Oryzias latipes: one gene and its partners. The protein of the gene in region 1 interacts with the protein of each later gene in a pairwise test. Links are inferred from orthologs where the notes say so. Each region holds a gene or a part of one and is shown in the gene's direction. Other genes may lie near its edges.

The links. The genes of interacting proteins can lie anywhere in the genome.
Region 2: the proteins of traf3ip1 (region 1) and smc3 interact in a two-hybrid assay, tested with the Homo sapiens proteins (2 studies listed by BioGRID and IntAct). The link is inferred for Oryzias latipes from reciprocal best matches to the Homo sapiens genes TRAF3IP1 and SMC3.
Region 3: the proteins of traf3ip1 (region 1) and sfr1 interact in a two-hybrid assay, tested with the Homo sapiens proteins (2 studies listed by BioGRID and IntAct). The link is inferred for Oryzias latipes from reciprocal best matches to the Homo sapiens genes TRAF3IP1 and SFR1.

The regions. Positions count from the first base shown.
Region 1 is NC_019879.2:26,425,721-26,429,767, reverse strand, and holds the start of traf3ip1 (TRAF3-interacting protein 1), read left to right. Parts: upstream 1-1,236; 5' UTR 1,237-1,380; coding exon 1,381-1,503; intron 1,504-3,386; coding exon 3,387-3,455; intron 3,456-4,047.
Region 2 is NC_019859.2:36,679,626-36,683,726, forward strand, and holds the start of smc3 (structural maintenance of chromosomes protein 3), read left to right. Parts: upstream 1-1,290; 5' UTR 1,291-1,470; coding exon 1,471-1,485; intron 1,486-1,976; coding exon 1,977-2,052; intron 2,053-2,162; coding exon 2,163-2,201; intron 2,202-2,285; coding exon 2,286-2,353; intron 2,354-2,473; coding exon 2,474-2,545; intron 2,546-3,843; coding exon 3,844-3,923; intron 3,924-4,017; coding exon 4,018-4,096; intron 4,097-4,101. UniProt on the Homo sapiens protein: Central component of cohesin, a complex required for chromosome cohesion during the cell cycle. The cohesin complex may form a large proteinaceous ring within which sister chromatids can be trapped.
Region 3 is NC_019873.2:20,002,332-20,006,437, forward strand, and holds sfr1 (swi5-dependent recombination DNA repair protein 1 homolog), read left to right. Parts: upstream 1-1,350; 5' UTR 1,351-1,605; coding exon 1,606-1,686; intron 1,687-2,175; coding exon 2,176-2,484; intron 2,485-2,562; coding exon 2,563-2,751; 3' UTR 2,752-2,915; coding exon of another isoform or gene 2,916-3,088; 3' UTR 3,089-3,180; coding exon of another isoform or gene 3,181-3,334; 3' UTR 3,335-3,413; coding exon of another isoform or gene 3,414-3,494; 3' UTR 3,495-3,595; downstream 3,596-4,106. Other genes in the region: cfap43 (cilia- and flagella-associated protein 43), read right to left, coding at 2,916-3,088, 3,181-3,334, 3,414-3,494. UniProt on the Homo sapiens protein: Component of the SWI5-SFR1 complex, a complex required for double-strand break repair via homologous recombination. Acts as a transcriptional modulator for ESR1.

The DNA.
Region 1 (4,047 bases):
TTTTAACCCTTTGAAGCCTGAATTTATCTATGAAAAAGCAATTTCACTCATGTTTTTGTCTTCAAGTAGATCCCAAATGAGGGTAATTTGGAACTGGTCTGATGCATATTTGCATCAATGGGTGACAAGGGGTTAGTAACTGTCAATCTTGTATTTGAACCCCCTGCCCTCTCTACAGAAGAACATCAAAGGTTCAAAAGCGACTGAGTCAAGGTTCGTACTGTACCTTAAGGGTAAGGGTGGATGTCATGCTTTAAAAGCAAAAACAACTACCAGGTGAGGTGTCTCAAGATCATTATCCCAGGATCAGGAGCATCTATTTGATAAACAACGTATAACAGATTTATCATACATTTACAAATAAAAGTTGTTTTTCAATTAAATTCTGTGAAGATCGATTTAAAAGCCTGCTCCTGTTGAGCCTTTGTGCTTTACAAGGAGTTCACTTTACAAAATAAGGTGACAAGGGGCACGGCTCTCCATTAGCATCTTGGTGTAATTATTAGGAACATAAAAGAAAAGAATTCAAGCTTAAAACAATCACTTTCATAAACCCTTAATGTGATAACGTCTTCGACCTCAAAAGAAGCTCCGCCGTTAACCGACACACTTTGCAAACTGCAAAGAGAAACAACAACTCTTTTTCTAAGAGGAAGGAAGCAAAAGGGAGATTTTGTTTAAAATGATTTGTCACAACGAAAGTTATTCTGAACTGTTCTCTTCCAAAGTATGTCACACAACCAGTAGTGACACATATTTCTATATGTCTAACATTAATGTCACACAGAAACCAATTATAATATATTAATTAAGAATATTAATTTCCTCACTGAGATTAAATCAATGTTTTTATTTAGTTCTAATATCTTTTATTTGTTTAATAAATAATATTTCTTCACTCAAATCGTTGAATTTAGTTGATTATTTTCTGTGTTTGTAATGACTCTATACTGATAATTAAGTGTGCTGGACCCCAAATTCAAAGTGATCATAGTTGATCAATAACATAACATGCTGGTTGTGCTGTCAAGATTCCTGTTTTTTTGTCCAAAGTCGGTCACCAAACGAACAAAATCAATAAAAATATCAATGAAAAGTATTATATTCATTCCAAAACTATTTGTGTTGTTAAATTTTGATTTGTGTCCCCTTCGGCAACCCCCCCCCCCCCAATTCCCTCCAACAGTTGCCATGGTAACAATGCGCTTGACAAGTCCACAGTTGAGCGCAGGCGCACTGTTTAACCGTGAAGCATTGTGGGATTGCTGAATATTGACATGGCAACCAAACTGTAGATCCGTTTAGCATCCACACCGGGCTTTTTGCTGCTTCACCCCCTTAGTGATCACCCACTCGGTTGTATGCGTGTTTACCGCCGCCATGAATGCGGCGGTGGTGAAAAAGACTCAGGAAACGTTGGGGAAAGTGATAAAGAAACCACCGCTCATGGAAAAGCTGCTGAGCAAGCCGCCGTTCCGGTACCTGCACGACATCTTCATGGAGGTGAGGCGGAATTCCTGTTTTACAGTATCTTCACGACGGTGTGACTATTTCACAGCCCCTCTTTTAGTCCATTTTGTCGGAAAAAAGCGGAGCGAAAATGCCCTATATACGCTAAGAAATGCGGGGGTACGGCTAGCATCATGGCTAGTGGTATTGCACCTAAAGAAAAGCTCTTTAAGTAAGTTAGGCAGCATTAGGTAACACAGCTGATACGGCTGCCATCACTGGCAGCAAAAAGTAACATATCTGAGGACAGGAACGTTGTATTATTTCAGCAGAACTTCTGCTGTGGTTTAGTCTAAAGTGTTAGCTTCGTTAGCTACCTAGCTAGCTGATCAGCGTCGTTTAGTTGCTAGGCAGCACCTGGGCTCAGACTTCAACAAACCCATTTAACTTGGTCCCTTGTTGAACTATTCAACAGTATTTTTTTCGGATCGTTAAATGACTATGAATGAAGTTTAGTTACTTGTAGAAAAAATTGATGCCGATAACCATCTGCATCTGTGTTATAGTAGAAACAAATACTTTTTAAAACGTCTGAAACTGTGGTTTTAAACATGGATAAATGCTCCCTGGTGTTCTGTCATGGGGAAAAAACCCACTCCTATAAAAGTCACAATTCAATAAATTCTTTTCTATGTTTGCAGTGGTGTTTATACACAAAATATTCAGTATTTGTTTGATTTATTTTTTGCTTTCTTTTCTGAGAGTCTTCTGCATATTTAGTTATTATTATTTATTGATTTTTTACTTATACCAACCATTTTGACTTCTTGTTTTCATGTTGTTTTGATGCTGCCAATGCTTTTGTGCCTTAGAAATATTTTCTTGATTACCGATGAACCTGGCTTTTGTTGGTTTGGAGGTATTTATCTGAAACCATCACTAAATAAAAGAAGGAAAGAGTAACTATATCCAAAAATTTTGAGAAATGACTTATTAATAAAATAGTTATTTTGATCATTTGAAAGTATTTTTGATGCATTTTAACTTTAAAACCCCACTGTTTTGGGTTTTTTAACATGTTCTTGTGGTATTTTTCTAAGAATGGAGGACATACATGAAGAAATTGAAGCTTAGAATTACATTTCTGAGTATTTCTTTATTGAAATTGTTGTGAATCAGGAGCAGGCAGAAATTTTTTTGTGAAAGGGCTTATGGCGTAGAATCTACAGCAGCGGGCCACAAGCTCCCTACTCCGCTCCGTTCTGATGCATCCACTTGTAAACAACTGGTTCCGTGTGCGTCATCGTTTTCTTTGTCTGAGATTGGATCTGGCTCTCTCTGTATGGCTGGATAGCTCCAATATTGCTCACCATTTTTGTTCCACTGGTAATGTCTGGTTGGGGTTGTGAGAAATTTCTAATCGCCTGCAGAAACTCTGTCCTAGGAAACGACACAGGTTTTTTGATTTTGGCTAAAAACGGCATCATCATAAGTAAAGGCCACTGGGAACGCTTTGAAAATGGATCAAAGTCGACCAGAAGGGGACTTAAAATAGACAGAATAAATTAACATGTATAGAGAAGTCTCAGAGGTGTAAAGCAGCATCTGTTTTCTCAACAGAGGTTGGATCTTTTTTTCTATGCCTCACTTGTTACGTTGTCTTGTATTTCACTGCTGTTTCATACATATTTGAACAATGGAGGCACGTCCAGACAGTAATCAGAGTAAAGGAGTCGTTTAGACTCTTTACTCTGATTACATTCTCATCTCTAGGCACAGGACTTAAGCAGAGAGTTCACTAAATCTGCACTTTAGGCTGTCAAGAGTTGTTTAAAATGAGGAAAGATGTTGTTTTTTAATTATTGTTGATATGGCTAGGATTTAATCGATGTTTGCTGCTTTGAACATGAAATAAAACTCATTTTCATCTCTTGTAGGTCATCAGAACCACTGGTTTTCTGAAAGGCTTATATGAAGAAAATGAAATGAAGTCGGATAATGTCAATGTAAGTCCTCTATTCCTTTAGTATCCTGGCAACTCAAGACAAATGTGTCACAGATTTATTCTTTTATGTTCATTTGAATGCATTTGTCTACATCATCAAATATCACACACCTGCAAAGAAAACCAAGAAAACAGCAAATGTGGAAGCTGCTCTTGCTGAGAAAACTTTAAAACTTAAAGTTTTGAAGAACTGAAAGAAAAATATCAACAACTACTTACTCCACATACCTCCAAAAATGTTTTCTAAAGTGAAATATGGACGATTATAAAATGATCAAAAATGCTCTTTTCTAGCCAATCCTTTTTTTCTCTAAACAAAATGTTTTAAAAAATAGTTTTCTAAGAAAACTATCTTTAAAGTAAATCACTTGTATGGGTTCAGACTAATCCATGTTCTACAAGCAGAACATGAATAGAAAGATTTTTTAGTAATTTTAGAGGAAGCTGTCATTTATATGCTGCTATTGAAAAAAATGGAATTATGGAACAGCACATGGACGTCATATAAACTATTTTGATTTTATTAGAAATAAGCTAATCTGTATATTCCTGCATGTAAATAGTTTTTTATGTGCAAACAGGATGTTTGGGAT
Region 2 (4,101 bases), on another chromosome or scaffold:
GGTTGTGTCAGGAAGGGCATCCGGTGTAACAATCTCTGCCAAACCACCTGTGAGACTCCCTGAAAGCTGATTGGCTGTGGCGACCCCTGAAGGGACATGCAGAAGAGTGAACAACAACAACACATACTGAACCGCATCCTGAATCATGGGGAGAGATTTTAGTTTATGTATTTCAAACATGTTATAAAAACAACAATAGATACATTCATACACTCGCTGATAACTGTAGTCAGTCACTCAAGAGGTTTTTTCTAACAGAACTCAAGCAAAATAAAATGTTGGAAAAGCAGAAAGCTTATTAAAGCCTACTCCTTTATACCCACTGAACTTTGACAACAAGAAAACATGGAGTCAGTGCATCACATGTTCTGTTAATTGTAGATTACATGTAAATGTACATTTACAGTACTGCTTAGTAATGGCCAACTGGACTTTTTTATTGTTACTTTCTTATTAGAAATTTTTAAAACAGTTTTTCTTCCAGAATCTTTCGTTGTTGTTTTTTAATATACAACTATTGAACCGAAACAAAACCATGACCAAAAAATTAACGTTTGAACCAAATTGTGAATCTTTGTATCCCTAATATAGAGGAGAGATTTTTCTCCCTCTCAATAATAGGCCTGTGTGTGTGTGTGTGTTTGTGTAGGCCTTCATGTTTTTTGTGTGTTTATGTTACAGAAACCATGTAAACCAAGAGTTTTGTAACTTTGTTTGCCACGTTGTACAAAACCAAACAGCCCAAGCTAAGGATAGTAATGAGATAGCAAAATATTTTCCTTTGCTCTACAGTATTGTGCATAAATTCTCATGAATGTTGATAGTATTTAGTTACTGTGACTGTACGTTTGTGACATGGCTCTTCTATATCTTCATCCAAAGACCAAGATAAACTTTTAGGCCAATTTGTTCAAACGGGTCATTTTAAAAATAAAAGTATTTTACTCTTGTAATCACATGTTTTCTTAATGTGAGGAACTGGCTTCAATAGTTGACAGTTACCGGCTGAACGGACATCGTCTACGGTAGTTATGCTTGAATCAGGAGGAAGCGTCAGCGCGAAGCTGCGCTTTGGCGCCCAGAACGTCAGAGGCAGAATGTACCAACTGTGACGGGAAAAAGATTTACACGTTTCACACGTTTAACAGTTCACACAGAAAAAAAAATGTACATATTTCAAAGAAAAAAATTATATAGACATTCATGCTACTGCTCGGGTTTGTCCAGGTCCTCGAATTCAGCCTAACATCTTTACCACAACCCTATTTTGACATAATGGAACAGGCCTTTCCATCCCGCCCCCGCCGCCATTTTCCATGTTGTTCTGTTTTGGTGAATTCGTTTCATTTTAGTTGAATACAAACGTTTATCTTGTAACATTTGATTAGTAAGATTACCGGAATCTTGGGTTTGGTGGAGAGGAGTTTAATCTCCAGCGTTTTTCCAAGGAGACGCCGTGTTTAGGCAGCCATGTATATCAAACAGGTAAGTCATCCACTGGGTTTTTGTCTCTGCAGTGCTGCTGCTTACTTTCCCTGGTCTGGCAACAAGGCGCAGGGAACACAAAACATCTTTATACTCCCGGTCTGTAGTCTTTAATAATGTAGATATTTATTTTCTTAATCAAGCAAGCCCATTAAATGCACTCAGACGGAACTTTTAGTATTTAAATAGGACTGGACGCCCCCCTTGCCGAAGCTAAGCTAATGCTAATTTTTGTTAGCGCGGAATTGAATCCATGCGTGAATTAAGCCGAACAAAATAACATTGCGCCCACGTTTTTAATGCATATTGTTCCCCTCATACCGTACATAAACTCGCCCTCTGTCTGGAATAGCTCACAAGTTTTAAATGATAGATTTAGCATTAGCCGATGAATCCATCGCTAGCCGATCCCGGCTAGCCGAGGCCTTTTGACGGCATGTATCATACATACTACGGCATATGTGGGTGGTAACTGCTGTGGTCTGGTGCAGGTCATCATTCAGGGGTTCCGAAGTTACCGGGACCAAACTGTTGTTGATCCATTCAGCCCAAAGCACAACGTCATCGGTGAGTCTGTGCTTCATCATGATGAGTTTTGGAACACATGATTTTCCCATGTGAGTATATTTGTCTTTCTCTAAAACATGGTTCTCTCTCTCTCTCTGTTTGATTTTCAGTTGGAAGAAATGGGTCTGGAAAAAGTAACTTTTTCTATGGTATGTGGGCTTCATTTACAAAGTTTAGTTAGTTTAAATCTTTCCATTGTAGCTAAATCCAAACCTTTTTGCCCCCCGCCCTAGCCATCCAGTTCGTCCTCAGTGATGAATTCAGTCATCTGCGGCCTGAACAGCGTCTGGCCCTTCTGCATGTAAGTATGATGTCGAATTTTACCACCAGATGATTTCTGACCAACCTTTTTTTTTGCATGTTAATGGAGTCATTCTTGCTTTGTTTGTTTTCTCTCTCATGGCCGTTCTCCCCGTTGCAGGAAGGAACTGGTCCACGCGTCATATCAGCTTTTGTGGAAATTATTTTTGACAACTCTGATAACCGGCTGCCGGTAGGAAAGCCTTTTCATCCGTTCTATTTCGTTTACATTTTGTATTTTTAAACTTTGGAACTTTTAACATTCCAGTCGATCAGTTTTTGCTTTAAAAGCTGGTTTTCAAAGAAAAAAAAGATTTGTTTTTATGGGCTGTTCAGAGTTTGGTGCAGGTCTGCCTTCAGTCACCAACATTTTTTCTAAATGTAGACATACAGACCTAAAGAAAGTAGAATGTTACCTGTTGATCCAAATATATGATTGATGTATTTTAGTGTTTGTGACACCTGCAGTGAGTAACCATAGAAATATTTAAAAGCAGCACCAAAGTATTTGTCAGTCACAGATTCTGCAAGCTGTCCCACATAAAAATAGACTTTGGATCTGTATCATTCGTCATAGACGCAGTTTAACTGTGTGAGACAGAATAAATAATCCAGGAAACCACATTGTTTAATTTTTACAGATTTTATTTGTACAATGGAGCAGAAAATAAGTATTTGATCAATAACTAAAGTTAACCTCAGTACTTTGGGAAGTAACTTTGCTTTTCCAGGTTTGCATTATTTAACAGCTCACAGGCCTGTTACGTCTGTAAAGTCCCACTCTGATCATCATCTGATCTGTTTTCAAAGCGTTCTCGTGGTCTTTTTATTATGATGATGCATTCTTTAGGCAAAAAACCTCTGTTGTTTTGTACGTCATAGTTTCTGCAGAGCGGCAGGAGTTCATTAGAAATTCACCTCTAAATTGTGGGTGGGACTGTTTGGGTGGAGCACCCCCCCTTCCCTACCTTCCCCATTGCTCAGAGCAGGGAGTTTGTGGCCCCGCCCAGCGTATTTTCTACGTCACAAATACAATCCTTTTACAACTGCATTTCTTCGTCTGCTCCCCGGATTCACAACGATGAGAATAAAAGACTCAGAAATGCAGTTTTAGTCCTAATTTTCTTTATGAATGTCCCCGTCATCAGAAATATACCACAAGAACATTCTAAAAACACCATTTTCATCGCAGTGGGTCTTTAAGAAGCTCTCGTTATTACTCAGATTACTTATTAGAACAATATATAGAAACTTTAAAATACTGGCAACCTGCCTCCACCTGTGGCCCCTTAATGGTCTTATTTATTTGTCTTTATATCTTGTTAATGATGATCATCGCTGATCTTTCATTTTTTAGTGGAACAACTTTCAGAATCGGTTCTGCCACTTACATATTGTTGTACTGCTCCTAACATGAAAGGGATTCACAAACATTAAAGCTGAATTATAGCTTTGTTGATCACAGACCAAGTGAGAATTTTGTCCTTTCAGATTGACAAAGAGGAAGTCTCTCTTCGTCGTGTCATTGGTGCAAAGAAGGACCAATATTTCTTGGACAAGAAGATGGTGACGTGAGTTCTTGCTGAGCTGTGACTGCTTCTGTCCCTGTTATCACAGAGAATGACAAATGTAGGATTAAACGTCTTCCACATGCTGTTGTTGCAGTAAGAACGACGTCATGAACCTTCTGGAAAGCGCCGGTTTCTCTCGCAGTAACCCATACTACATCGTCAAACAGGGAAAGGTGAG
Region 3 (4,106 bases), on another chromosome or scaffold:
GACCCAAAAATGGCTTAAGGATGTATAATGTTTAGTGGCCAGTCCTGCATTTGATGAAAGATCTGGCACTCTCATTATCTCACATGGCCTGGAGATTCTATAAACCCACAGCAGCTGCTGCATGCCACGGTTAATGCCGACTTCACAAAGCAAAAATTACACGCAAAAAACATTAACTTACACAAATAGCAATTACCCTTCCCTCAGTTGTCCTTACAAGGAGTATTAAAAAAAATCTCTTGTTCCCTGGGGTGTGTAATATCACACTGCCAAATGAGTTGCTAATGTTCGTGTCCGGGCACAACCACATTTGAAGGTATAACAGCTTTCTCCTCGTGGCTATAAAGGCTGACACACAATAAGAGAACCATCCCACATTTGTGAGAAGATTAAAATAGCTATAGACTTATAAAACCGATGAATCAGCTAATGAGGGAAGGTGAATCACAACATGAATCAACTCCAGATAACCACCACACAAAAAAATCTCTTTAACAATATTCTGAATTTTGGAGCAAAACACTCTTTCCCATTGCTATGGTAGTTGTTTTGCCTGACTTGATTATTAAACTACTTAAATTATAATTATTTAAATGTGTCTTATGTAAACACAAATAGTTTACCAACAATTTTTTAATTTTATTAAAAATATGTATTGATCAAATTTCATAAGAAGAAACAAGCTACTTAATCCCATGTGTGAAAAAACTTCCTTTGTGTTTTTTTATAAAAAAATGTTGTTTTCTCCATGAAGCAATTCATCAAAAAAAGAAAATTCTGTTCATTAACATATTTTTACAGGGCAATAGACATGACATTCAAATAAATAAATAAAAACTGTTCCTTCAAACTAACAATTTGTGCACACAAATTCGAATTTTTTTATTGCGTTCACACAAATTTGCATCTCGTGACCAAAATTTTGCTTTTTATTAACATTTTGTAGGCAAAAGTTACTGTTTTGTGAACACAAATAATTCAAATTACTGTACTAGCCAAATTTGTTGGCTTAGAAATTGTGTGTGCACAAATTAGCAGGCTATTATGTAGGCCTATGAATTAATTAGAATTTTGTGCCAACAAATAAGTATACTGTGGACACAGAATGCTTATAAATTACAAATTAATTGCCCAAAAAAATGCTAAATTGTGTGCACACAAAAAAATTTAAGGCCACATATTATTTTGTTTCTCTTTTTTTCATATTTTTTTTATATATATGTACATTTAAATATGATGTTTAAGTAAAATTATTCCATCTTAAAGCCAACAAGTTAAATGTGCGACTGCGTTTGAGGAATAACTTCATATCCCAGAATCCTCTTCGGCTAAACGTAATCAGTTTCTGTCCAATCATTGATCTTCAGGACTTAGAACCGCAAAAATACGGAAAAACAAGATCAACTGTGGTGTCATCGCCTCAGCTTAATTTTTCCACATGGAAATGTCTTTGATAAAAATTCAATATGGTTTATAATACTTTGTTATAGTGCCTCTAATTTTTTTCGTTCTTATTTCAGCCGAGTCAGATATATTGAGCGTTTTCTCAACTTTAAGCTAGGCTATTCTCGCAGCTAAACAGACTTTTCATGCTAAATCTGACGGATGGAAGTCACTCCAAAACACGAGTATTCATCACCCTGCTGCCCAGAAGAGTCGACCCCCTCGGGATACAGAGAAGAGAAAGTAGGTGACTGAATGGGATGTGTGGTGCACTACATACGACGTAGTGTTAGGTCCACCATGAAAGAAAAAGTCTAAAGAGACGCCGAGGGGAAAATTTTACGGCAATAAAGTTATGCAATTATGAGTAAAAAAAATAGCTCTTAAGTTGTAAATTTATGCTTCAAAAAGTCTACATCTTATAAGTAAAAAGTCACGCGTGTTGAAATTAAAATGTTACATTTTAGATTTTTTAAATCATGTCATAGCGAATTAATCGATTTTTTTTTGTAAATGTACAACTTTATTTTCGAAAAAGTACGACTTTTTCATGTAAATGTATAATTTTTTTAAATCATAATTTTACATATTTTTTAGTTATATAATGTAGATTTTTTTTTTCTAATATTTGTATGACTTTATTCTTGTAAAATGTTAACTTTTTTCTCTTTTTATGCTGGCCTTAATACTCCATCTGTGATTTTTTTTTCTTTTCCCCTCGTATCATCCTAGTGTTTTTCAAAGCTCAGCACTTCGCTGAGGGAAAGATTGAAAAGATCCAGACGCTCCTTTGTTTCTCCTGTCTCTGTGGCCAAACGCCTTTGTGTGGACGATGCAGAGGATGAAGGGCCACACATGTCAGCAGACTCCAAGGAGGCTGTCAGGCAGCCTGCAGAAATCCCACTCAATGACAACAAAAGGGAAGCCCAGTCAGGCAGTGAGCAGACGCCTGAAGCTTTTTTACAGCACCTCAGGAAAGAAGTCAAAGAAAAAACAGAGACTCTACGTCGACTCAAGATGGTAAAGATGTACAGAAGCAAGGTACCAGCCATTTTTCAAACATCTTCAGGGGATCACCGTTTTGCTTTGCCGTAACACTTTTCTGGTCTTTCCCCCTAGAATGATTTAACCCAGCTTCAAACTTTGATCGACAAGTGGAGGCGTTGCTCCCAGAACGCGCTGTATGAACTCCAGTCAGATGTCACTGTGGACGGACGAAGGGCGAATCTGTCTGAGCTTATAGACCTCTTTGGTTTGGACGATCACTTTCTGCACTTTGACCGCCCGGAGGAGGACTTCACTACTTAACATGTTTTTTTTTTTGTTTCTGTTTTTTTTTATTTTACGACTTAAGTACCAGCAGATTAAGTGGTTCTTAATCACTTTATTTGTTGCAGGTTCTTCACAGCAAAAGCACATTTAATGTACAGAGAACTTTTTGCTCAGTTAAGAAACAAAAAAAAATGTTTCACTCAGCTGTATTTCAGCTGATAGACTGAAGTGAAGTTCTTCTTCGTTAGACGTTCAACTTCCGCTAAAAGGACTGTCAGTTCCTCAGCCTGAGCTTTGACTAGAGCCTTCAAGTTGCTTTTCACAGCAAGCTCCAGGTGCCGCTCTTTGGCTTTTGCTTGCTCTTGTTCAGGGCCTAAACAACCAAAATAAAAGCAGATAAATATTTATGCTTGTCTGGGATGACGGAATCGGCGTTTGGCGAATGTTTGTCGATCAGAAACCAACCTGCAGCTTCAGAGACGTGTCTCAGCTGCGCCACGTCCACCCGTATGTCAGGAAGCTGCAGCTCCAGAGTAGAAGTCTTTTTGCTTTTCACGTCAGCTTGTTTATAAAGCTGCTCGATTTCCTTCACACACTGCTGGATGCACTGTTGATGAGCCTGAAAAAGTAAACAGAGTTGTTCATAAAAAAAGCATAAAAAGGCTGGTTTATCGTTGCTTTGTCACTTTTCATGTCACCTCCGTCATGAAAGCAAGGTTTTTCTCCAACATGGACGCTTTCTGTGAAATGCGAGTGCCTTGTTCTGACTCGCTGTAACGCTGGAAATAAAAAAAGAGAAACGCATTAATTAAAAACAGTGTTTCATACATTTTTGCTTCTCCCTTCTTCTCAAATGTTCAATAAAGGCTTTTGAAACACATGCAGCAAAGCTATTTGTCATGCAATGTAAAACCTCACTCTGCCTAGATCTATCTACATTCAAAATTTCTCTCATGGGGTTCAAACAATGTCAGGAAGGCGAACGCTGCACAGCTGCTGAGCTACCTGTACCTGCTGCCAAAGAAAACTGGCAATGCAGCCTGGAAACTTACCATTTTACCCTCTGGGTTGTTAAAAAATAAAGCCAAAAATTAGTTAGTTGGTCTGTTTTTGTGTTTGTCCTCAAACTTTCAAAACTATTTTTAACTTTTAGACTGTGTCCAAAAGCTACATATCGTCAAATAAATTGTCTTATATTTGATTAAACAAACCAATCTGTCAGATTTTGAAAAAATGATATAAAAGAAAGTGACATGCCTACTGAAAGAGGTTTAAGTTCAGCAAATGAAGGGGGAAAAAACCCTGAGTCAATTAAAAAGGGTGTGAGTCTCCTATAAAAGATCATTCATCTGCACTGGGAGATGGGAACAATTTTCTGTTTGCAAAACACC